Linked DNA regions of Sus scrofa. The protein of the gene in region 3 interacts with the protein of the main gene of each other region in a pairwise test. Links are inferred from orthologs where the notes say so. Each region holds a gene or a part of one and is shown on either strand. Other genes may lie near its edges.

Region 1 (3,500 bases), on a different chromosome or scaffold from region 3:
GCAGTTATTTTAGTTTGCCTATAGAAAATTGTAATGAGGGTGATTATTTTTTTCACCTAGTATGAACATAGCAGAGATTAGGAGGTGACTGATATTTCAAGGAGAAAAACGCTTAATGATTATAAATGCATATCTGGAAATAGAGTTTATACAACCATAACCATACAGATTAATCAAACTGACCTTCTGTGATACTAATACAAGAAAGTATTCTCAGGGACTTCGAAAATCTCTAGTAAAACATTTTTTTTCCCTGATTTGGGTGAAAATGACTTTGTTCCCATAGAGCACTATCGGGCCCCCTGAACTCTCAGGTATTTCCTAATACTTCAGGAGTGGGAGCTGTCTCTTTACCTACATCTTCATCCAATGCCAGTGAGACTTAAGAAAAACCTCAGAGCTTCAATACCCATCAAACCCATCAAACTTAAAGCTGAGGGATGCAAACAAAATGCTTTAATAAGAGAGGGTGCAGGGAGTTCATTGTAGCACAGTGGGTTAAGGATCCAGTGTTGTCACTGCAGTGACTCGGGTTGCTGCTGTGACACAGGTTCAATCCCTGGCCTAGGAACTTCCACATGTCGCAGGTATGGCCAAAAATAAATAAAAATAAGATAAAATAAAAAGAGGGTATGGTTCAGGTTTGGTGTCTACTAAAGGGACAAGACAACACTACTAAGATTGTCAAAAAGAGAAACAGCAAAGAAAGGATTTTCCCCTTTGAATCACTTGTGATTTTGTGTGACTTTTGCAGTGGATCTCTTGAGCCTGTCAGCTGCATGCGATGCCTTGGACCAGCACAACCTCAAGCAGAATGACCAGCCCATGGACATCCTGCAGATCATTAATTGTTTGACCACTGTTTATGATCGCCTGGAGCAAGAGCACAACAATCTGGTCAACGTCCCCCTCTGCGTGGATATGTGTCTCAACTGGCTGCTGAATGTTTATGACACGTACGTATGGCAGGCTTTTTCCAGACTCTGTCATGGGAGGCTTGGTTTACAGAATGGTGACAGTGTAATTACCATCACAACAGGGCTCCAGTCTAGAAATATGGTCCTTGGAATGAAAGTTTCATGAAGCCCTCTGACCTTATGTTGTCCCCGTGATTAATCATTTTTGCCTTTAATGGAACTGAAAAATATGTTGAGAAGTGGGGAGGGTAAGAACAATAAGGTAGGTTGTTCTCAGATCATCAAGCAGACAAAACCCCAAAGTTACTCATTTTTCCAGTAGTAGCATGAGACAGTGTGTAGCCCTTGGTTCTCTGCCTTCCTTGCCTGTGTACTTTGAACTTCATCCTCTTCAGGGATGGCTCCCTCTCACCAGCCGGAAGGGGTGAGCTCCTGGAGATGCTGGCACACCTGTCACCAGCTCTGAACAGTGTTTGCTGATATTCATAGGTTTTTGCAGAAGGCTGCATTGATAAGCAAAAAGGAAAAGAAAAGAAAATAAGCCCTTGATGTAGCAAACTCAGCTCCTCAAACTGAGGAAGTTTTGTCTTTTTTTTTTTTTTTTTTAAATAAGGGTTTATGAAGTTGCAATTTGGCCCTCCATTTATCTCTCTCTTAGAACTTGCTTATTTCTTTTGGATTACACTTAGGCGAGCTCCCCAGTTTCATCTTGAGCTTAATGAAGATAATTGAGGAAGGCAGCAGAAGGAATTGGTCTTAATTTTGACTGAATTCTTCTCAGACCTCAAAATTATTATATGCCCGATTTCCCATGTCAATAAGAACATTTTCCACATTTGGAAATCTGCAAAGGTTTTCTGAAAGGAGTTGCATAGCAACTGTTTTGCTTTTGCCTTTGTTGTAGATTTCTACCATCTCCTGGCTTAAAATGTATACCTTTTTTTCTTTGTTACTTTGATAAGGCATTGCTTTCTAAATTCCAAATCACCTGGCTATTGAATTCTGATCATTATCTACCAAGCTCTTGAACATGTTGGATTTTAATTACGGATTATACTTACACTTGCTTTGATAAGGGTTTCTATTCAGGTCTTCCCTCAAATGTATTTTGGCACCATTTTCTTTCCAGATGTTGTGTAAATGGATTCTGGTAACTTCCTCTCTCTATGCCTGAAAATTTTGAGGGGACAATTTTAACTCCTTGAAGACCTGAGTTTTTACATAAAGTTTGTTAAACTTTGCTTTGCCTTTTTAAAAAGGGAAAAAGATAAAATCTTCAATGATAGTGCTTTTGTTAATGTGTTAGGACCCACGATTTCCATTTTTTACTAATAGATTTAGTAAATTGTACCAGTTGAAAGGTGAACATATTTTTCACCAAAAATAACCACCATTGGGACTTGTCCTTTGCCATTCTCCAGACTATTTTTTTAACCAGCAAATATGGTTCAGTATTTTTCACAACAAAATCAAAGCTGAAAACTATCAAAAGGCATTTTCTAGAAAATGAAAAACTTCATTTTAATTTTCCCATGGATAAAATGAACTTATTAATAAATACCTTCTGGAATGCTTTATATGTAACATGAAAGTACATCTGTATTAAAACATTGCTGTAGCAATAGGTTATTTTTAATTTGCTGTTTAAGATCATCTAGCTGAATGCTCTCTAATAAACTGCATCATATTTTTCTTATAGACATAAATATTCCCATTTTATATTACATGTCATGTGGCCTGAAGTGATTAATTTTCTTCTCAATAAAGGGCAATCTGATGAAAATCTAAATGAGTGTTGAAGAGGGCAGAGCAGTTAGGCAGTTAGTTAATTTTTTTTTTTTTTTTGGCTTCAGTAACCAAAGTAGGTAATTTGCTTATTAGTACATAGTAGTAAATCTTCCACTTATTAACTTAGCCCAGGTGGCTCTCCCTAGATAAATAGAGGCTATTTTTTTCTTCTTTTATGTAGAGAAACTCTTACCATTCAAGAAGGGGTTTTTAAGAATTGAAAACTTGCTAAGTGTTCATTGGTTGAGTTGGTCAAATTTCCATCGCATTCTAGGTTATCAGCCAGATAGATAATGAACTCAGAAATGTTCTTAACGATCTTAAACAATGGTCAATAGAGTTCCCATATCCAAGGGTTTTTTTCTTAACTGAGAAGTTTTTTATCATTTAGTAAAGTGTCAGTAATTGTTTTTCTGCTTTGATTATTCATAATAGGGGACGAACGGGGAGGATTCGGGTCCTGTCTTTTAAAACTGGCATCGTTTCTCTGTGTAAAGCACACTTGGAAGACAAGTACAGATGTAAGTCATGTGTATTAAGTCTGTATTCTTTTATTAATGGTGGCTAATTACCCCTGTTCTAGATGGGGAATGACATAGTGTTCTTATTTGGCAGCAGGTTCCTCATGTAAGGTGTAGAACTACTTTTAGACTGTCATAAAATTTGGTTTGTGCCATTCCCTGTCAGACGTTAAATTGTAGGTATTTAAATAGAGAATGAGGATTAACTTCTCCAGTGCAAGTGTTATTTTACATTGCATTGACTATGTCTAAACAAAACACATGTTCCTTGGGG
Region 2 (2,842 bases), on a different chromosome or scaffold from region 3:
TGCACGTTGATATACCAGGGTTTATGTTAGTGTGAGTAAAACTTTATCACACTCGAAGATACAAAGCTGCTTTTTGCTATTTGAGGATCTCTTCGCATGAACCATCAGAGCTGGCTGGTCACATTCTTGTTTCTTTTCCCTCAGGGGCCATCAGTCCAACCTTTGACCTAGGGAGCCTCTCCTGTAGCCTGGAGGTGTCCGAGGATCACCGGACGGTGACCGTATCTCACTACCCACAGTCCTATCCCTGGAGTCCCGAGAGGTTTGCCTCCTGCCAGGTTTTGGGTTCCCAGGGCTTCTCTTCTGGGCAGCGGTACTGGGAAGTGGACACCCAGCGTTGTAGCCACTGGGCAGTTGGGGTGGCTTCCCGGGGGATGAGGCGTGACCAGATCCTGGGAAGGACCAGCGACTCCTGGTGCGTGGAGTGGAACGGGGCTAGCCAGCTCTCTGCGTGGCACGTAGTCAAGCAAACTGTCCTTGGCTCAGACAGACCTGGTGTGGTAGGCATCTGGCTGGACTTCGAGAAGGAAAAGCTCGCCTTCTATTCCGTGGCTGATCAAGAGAAGCTTCTGTACGAGTATCCAGTCTCTGCCTCCTTTGCTCTGTACCCTGCCTTCTGGCTGTATGGCTTATATCCTGGAAACTCTCTGACTGTAAGGCAGGTAAACCTATAAACGTTCCTTGGGTGTGAAAACATGTTGGTTTCCCAGTCTCTCTGGCTTCAGGCAGGCCGGCAACTTGGCTTAAGAATCCCACTTCAGGGAATTCCTGTTGTGGCTTAGCAGTTTAAGAACCCAATTAGTATCCATGAGGATGCAGGTTCCATCTCTGGCGTCGCTCAGTGGGTTAGGGATCCGGTGTTGCTGCAAGTGGCGGCATAGGTCACAGATACAGCTTGGATCTGGTGCTGCTGTGGCTGTGGTGTAGGCCTGCAGTTGCACTTCCAGCTCGACCCCCTAGCCTGGGAACTTCCATATGCCGCAGGTGTGGCCCTGGGAAAAAAAAAAAAGATTCCCATTTCAGATGTTAAGGAATTCGAAGTAAGTGCTTAACTCAGCAGGCTTAGGTTGTTCAGATCCGCACATTCCAAAGAAAGGAGAGTCTTGACTGGGAGATAACTTCAAAGCCCTTGGAGGAGTTCCTGTCGTGGCACAGTGGTTAACGAATCTGACTAGGAACCATGAGGTTGCCAGTTTGATCCCTGGCCTTGCTCAGTGGGTTAAGGATCTGGCATTGCCGTGAGCTGTGGTGTAGGTTGCAGATGCGGCTCGGATCCCACGTTGCTGTGGCTGGTGGCTGCAGCTCCAATTAGAATGCAAAAAGACAAAAACCAAAACCAAAACCAAAAAAAAAAAAACAAAGCCCTTGTAATATCCTGCCTGATAAGGTGTCTTTCTTTACCTGAGGGTCTTGGGCCAGGCAGTATCAGCTTGACCTCTGGAGGGACTGGAAACTAAGGTCATGATGTGGGTGGTGGGTCTGCCTATGTGACCGACCCCCCAGTCAAAGCCATGGACACAAGTCTTGGCTGGGCCTCCCGGCTGGCAATATTCTGTCTGTGTTGTCACACATTGTGTTGGGAGAATTAAGCCTTATTCTCCTGACTCCACTGGGAGAGGAAATTAGGGGTCTCCTGGCCCCTGCCCTATGTGCCTTTTTCTATTCCTGTTTTGTTGTTGTTTTGTCTTTTTAGGGCCATACCCTCGGCATATGGAAGTTCCCAGGCTAGGGGTCGAATCAGAGCTATAGATGCTGGCCTACGCCACAGCCACAGCCATAGCCACATCAGATCTGAGCCTCGTCTGTGACCTACACCACAGCTCATGGCCACACCGGATCCTTAACCTTCTTTTTTTTAAATTTTTTTTATTTTTTTGTCTTTTTTTTTTGCTATTTGTTGGGCTGCTCCCGAGGCATGGAGGTTCCCAGGCTAGGGGTCTAATCGGAGCTGTAGCCACCGGCCTACGCCAGAGCCACAGCAACTCGGGATCCGAGCCACGTCTGTGACCTACACCACAGCTCATGGCAACGCCGGATCGTTAACCCACTGAGCAAGGGCAGGGACTGAACCCACAACCTCATGGTTCCTAGTCAGATTCGTTAACCACTGCGCCACGACGGGAACTCCGGATCCTTAACCTTCTGAGTGAAGCCGGGGATTGAACGTGCATCCTCATGGATGCTAGTCAGATTCATTTCTGCTGAGCCACGATGGGAACGCCCGTCCTGGCTTTTATAGTAATGGCTTCCTTGCATCTTTTGTTTTAGCACCTAAATATGTGTTCCTAGCTGCAAGCATTTAGTCTTGCCCATTAAAAAAACCTGATACATCTTTTTCGTAATAGCTTTGTTGAGATTTGATTTACATACTGTAAAATTCACTTCAAGTGTACACATCAGTTTTTTCATATATTGACAGAGTTGTGAAACCATCACCACTGTCTAATTTTAGAACATTTTCATCACCCCCAGAAAGACCCCTGATACCCATTAGCAGTTGATATGTCTTTGAAGTCTTCTGATCCGAAGCTTTCCCCTCCCTTTCTTCTTCCGATTCATCTGTAGGCTCCCAGGCTGCCTCCACACTGGTGGGAGAAGTGGAAATTCAGTTCCGTTGGACTGGGCCGGGCAGAAAGTCTGGCCACACAAACCAGCGAGGCAGCCTTTGATCGTGCATGTCACCTCTTTGCCCCTTTTCCATGTAAAAGGGCAGTGACTATTCTTTGCCCTTCCTGATCTTCCCCCAAGGGTTGCCGAGAGAATTAAATAAATAGATGAGGCCATTGGAAGAATGCCAGGGTGATTATAACCACAGCAACCACGAGGGAATATATTTTCCTAT
Region 3 (3,500 bases):
GGAACTTGACACTTCCCTCTCAACAGGTCAAGCGGGACTGCTTTGAGGTTGCTACTCTTTTTTAAAGTACTCGTGAAGTTTTTGGTCACAAAACCTTATTGTTTGTTGTCTGTCTTTCATTACCCTTCACCCCCCACATCTGCAGCTTCATAGTACAGCAGCTCAGCTGGCAGCAGATCTGTTAAAATACCATGCTGATCATGTGGTTCTAAAAGCATTAAAACTTACTGGAGTAGAAGGAAATTTAGAAGGTTTGGCCGAATATGCCTGCAAACTCTCTGAACAGAAAGAGCGGCTTGTTGAGGTGAGTAATAAGTTGCTAGTTAAAAGAAACTGTAGTTTAATGAAAGCTGTACTGTCATCAGGGAGTATTAGCATGCATACAATTTTTGGTTAACTCATAGGAGCATTTTCTCTGGTGCCTTTGGAATTTTAAAAATAGCATGTTTCTCTGTTCTGTTCTTAGAACTATCTGGCCTCTAAAGCAAAATATTAAAAAATGCTAGAACCCACAAATGAACTTCTTAATCTTCTTCCTTATTCTGTCAGAGAGATTAGATCTTGGAGTCAAGCAATGGCGGTTCATCTTATGACCCTGTTTGTATTTGAGTCTTTTGAGTATCAGTGCAAAAGAGATGGCACATTCAAATTAGGTGTTTTTTTTGTTTTTTGTCTTTTTGCCTTTTCTAGGGCCACTCCTGCGGCATATGGAGGTTCCCAGGCTAGGGGTCAAATCAGAGCTGTAGCCACTGGCCTACATGAGAGCCACAGCAATGTGGGATCTGAGCCACGTCTGCGACCCACACCACAGCTCATGGCAACGCCGGATCCTTAACTCACTGAGCAAGGCCAGGGATCGAACCCGAACCTCATGGTTCCTAGTCGGATTCGTTAACCACTGCGCCACGACGGGAACTCCATCAAATTAGGTTAATTTAAAAAGAGATTGAGGAGTTCCCGTCGTGGCGCAGTGGTTAACGAATCCGACTAGGAACCATGAGGTTGCGGGTTCGGTCCCTGCCCTTGCTCAGTGGGTTAACGATCCGGCGTTGCCGTGAGCTGTGGTGTAGGTTGCAGACGCGGCTCGGATCCCACGTTGCTGTGGCTCTGGCGTAGGCCGGTGGCTACAGCTCCGACTGGACCCCTAGCCTGGGAACCTCCATATGCCGTGGGAGCGGCCCAAGAAGTAGCAACAACAACAACAACAAAAGACAAAAAGACAAAAAAAAAAAAAAAAAAAAAAAGAGAGATTGAGTTCCCATTGTGGCTCAGCAATAACAAATCCATGAGGACGTGGGTTTGATCCCTGGCCCTACTCAGTGGGTTAAGTATCCGGCATTGCCATGAGCTGTGGTGTTGGTCACAGGTGTAGATCTGGTGTTGCTGTGGCTGTGGTGTAGGCTGGCAGCTGCGGCTCCAATTTGACCCCTAGCCTGGGAACTTTATAATGCTGCAGGTGCATCCCTAAAAAACACAGAGTTTAACAAAAAGAGCTGTTTACAGTTGCATGGAAGGGTGTGAGGGGAACTATGAGAGTTCACAAATTGGGGTTCGTGATAGCAGAGCGGGTGCCACTCCTACACACAAATTAATGGGGGGAGGCAGGTGGGGTAAGTGGTTTCTGGAAACTGGAAGGACATAGAGTCCTTCAGAGAGCCACTTTGAGAGACTGTAATTTTAGGACTAGATACCTGCAGGGGAAGAACATGAGAATAAAGGCCCTTCCCCTCCTCATTCCTGCTGGTCTATTGCCAGGGCTTCACATTGGCCAAACCCAGCTGTAGACCTCATAGGTCAGTCTCCCAGGGCAAAAGCAGATTTGAGAAGGAAGAAGTAGTGGATATGGAGGGACAAAGAGAAAACAGTCAACACAGTTTTCCTTCTCTGAATCTCTCCTCTTCTGCCCAAATATCTGTTATGTGTTACTGGTGCTTTTCTTGCCCCTTTTGTTATAATTCCAAGTATTGATTGATCCTAAACCTTTTATGTGTTGAGAATGTCAGACAGCTACTAAGGATATGTGTACTTAATGCATGTACATATGAGGAAGACATATATTTTCCCCTTGTATATATGAGGTATGTCCTAGCCAACATGCATGTAAAGGCACAGACACGAACCATCTAGCTGTCTCTATCTTGCCTCAGGTACCCTGCTCACTGAATTTGAGGCTAATGGTTAGAACAAACCTTTATTTTATTTATTTATTTATTTGTCTTTTTGTCTTTTGAGGGCCACACCCACGGCGTATGGAGATTCCCAGGCTAGGGGTTGAATCGGAGCTGTAGCCCGCCAGCCTACACCAGAGCCACAGCAATTCAGGATCCGAGCCGCATCTGCGACCTACACCACAGCTCATGGCAACGCCAGATCCTTAACCCCTGAGCGAGGCCAGGGACCGAACCTGCAATCTCATGGTTCCTAGTTGGATTCGTTAACCACTGCGCCACCACGGGAACTCCCCTTTATTTTTATTTATTTATTTTTGTCTTTTGTCTTTTTAGGGCCGCATCCGCAGCATATGGAGGTTCCCAGGCTAGGGGTCTAATGGGAACTGTTGCCGCCGGCCTATGCCAGAGCCACAGCAACACCAGATCCAAGCTGCGTCTGCGAACTACACCACAACTCATGGCAACGCCAGATCCTTAACCCACTGAGGGAGGCCAGGGATCGAACCCGCAACCTCATGGTTCCTGGTGGGATTTGTTTCTGCTGTGCCACGATGGGAAATCCAGAAGGAACCTTTAGACTAACCAGCTTCTTTTCCTTTATTTGTTTATGTCTCAAAACTACTAGGAAGCATTCTCTCTCTCTCTCTCTCTTTTTTTTTTTTGTTTTTCAGAAATGCCCAGGCCATGGATTGAACCTGAGCCACAGCAGTGACAACACCAGATCCTTAACCTGCTGAGCCACCAGGGAACCTCTACCAGGGAGCATTCTTAAAATCACTGTACATACATGTCCTTCTAAAAACAGATCTGATGTTGGTTTGTTTATAAATCAAATATGACCATAGGCAATCTTGCTAATTAATTGTAGGAATCCTGCAGCAAATCTTTTTAAAAGGTGAAAACTTTTTTCTAATTATCTGTTTTAAGCCTCAAGATTTTCAGTAATTTTCCCTGCTATAGGCTCTTTACTCATTACATCAGTTTTGCCTAATCCAGTGTTATTGCCTGGATAGGTTGATTGTGGGGAGCAGTGTTATTTGTCGGCAGAAAGAATGTATGGTTTGTGGTAACTGACATAATTTAGCTGAGAGACCTTGGGTACGTCCTCCTCTGAGCCAAGTTTCTTCATACATGAAATATGTGGCTGCTGCAAGGTCCTTTCAGGATTCCTCCTGCTTCTCATATTCTCTGACCACCTTGCCATGATCAGATAGGAAGTAGAAACAATACAGGGTTTGTCAACCATTATTTGTTCCTGCTTTATTCCTAGAGAATCTGTTGGTAACCAATATAGTATTATAATAATCTTTCCATGAATATACACATCTA

The links.
Region 1: the proteins of CTNNAL1 (region 3) and DMD interact in binary tests that used the Homo sapiens proteins (3 or more experiments, as listed by UniProt). The two-hybrid records come from large-scale screens. The link is inferred for Sus scrofa from reciprocal best matches to the Homo sapiens genes CTNNAL1 and DMD.
Region 2: the proteins of CTNNAL1 (region 3) and RNF135 interact in binary tests that used the Homo sapiens proteins (3 or more experiments, as listed by UniProt). The two-hybrid records come from large-scale screens. The link is inferred for Sus scrofa from reciprocal best matches to the Homo sapiens genes CTNNAL1 and RNF135.

Annotation. Positions count from the first base shown.
Region 1 is NC_010461.5:27,124,228-27,127,727, reverse strand, and holds part of DMD (dystrophin), read left to right. Parts: intron 1-754; coding exon 755-956; intron 957-3,140; coding exon 3,141-3,226; intron 3,227-3,500. UniProt on the Homo sapiens protein: Anchors the extracellular matrix to the cytoskeleton via F-actin. Ligand for dystroglycan.
Region 2 is NC_010454.4:42,793,255-42,796,096, reverse strand, and holds the end of RNF135 (E3 ubiquitin-protein ligase RNF135), read left to right. Parts: intron 1-144; coding exon 145-674; 3' UTR 675-2,342; downstream 2,343-2,842.
Region 3 is NC_010443.5:250,029,949-250,033,448, reverse strand, and holds part of CTNNAL1 (alpha-catulin), read left to right. Parts: intron 1-145; coding exon 146-304; intron 305-3,500. UniProt on the Homo sapiens protein: May modulate the Rho pathway signaling by providing a scaffold for the Lbc Rho guanine nucleotide exchange factor (ARHGEF1).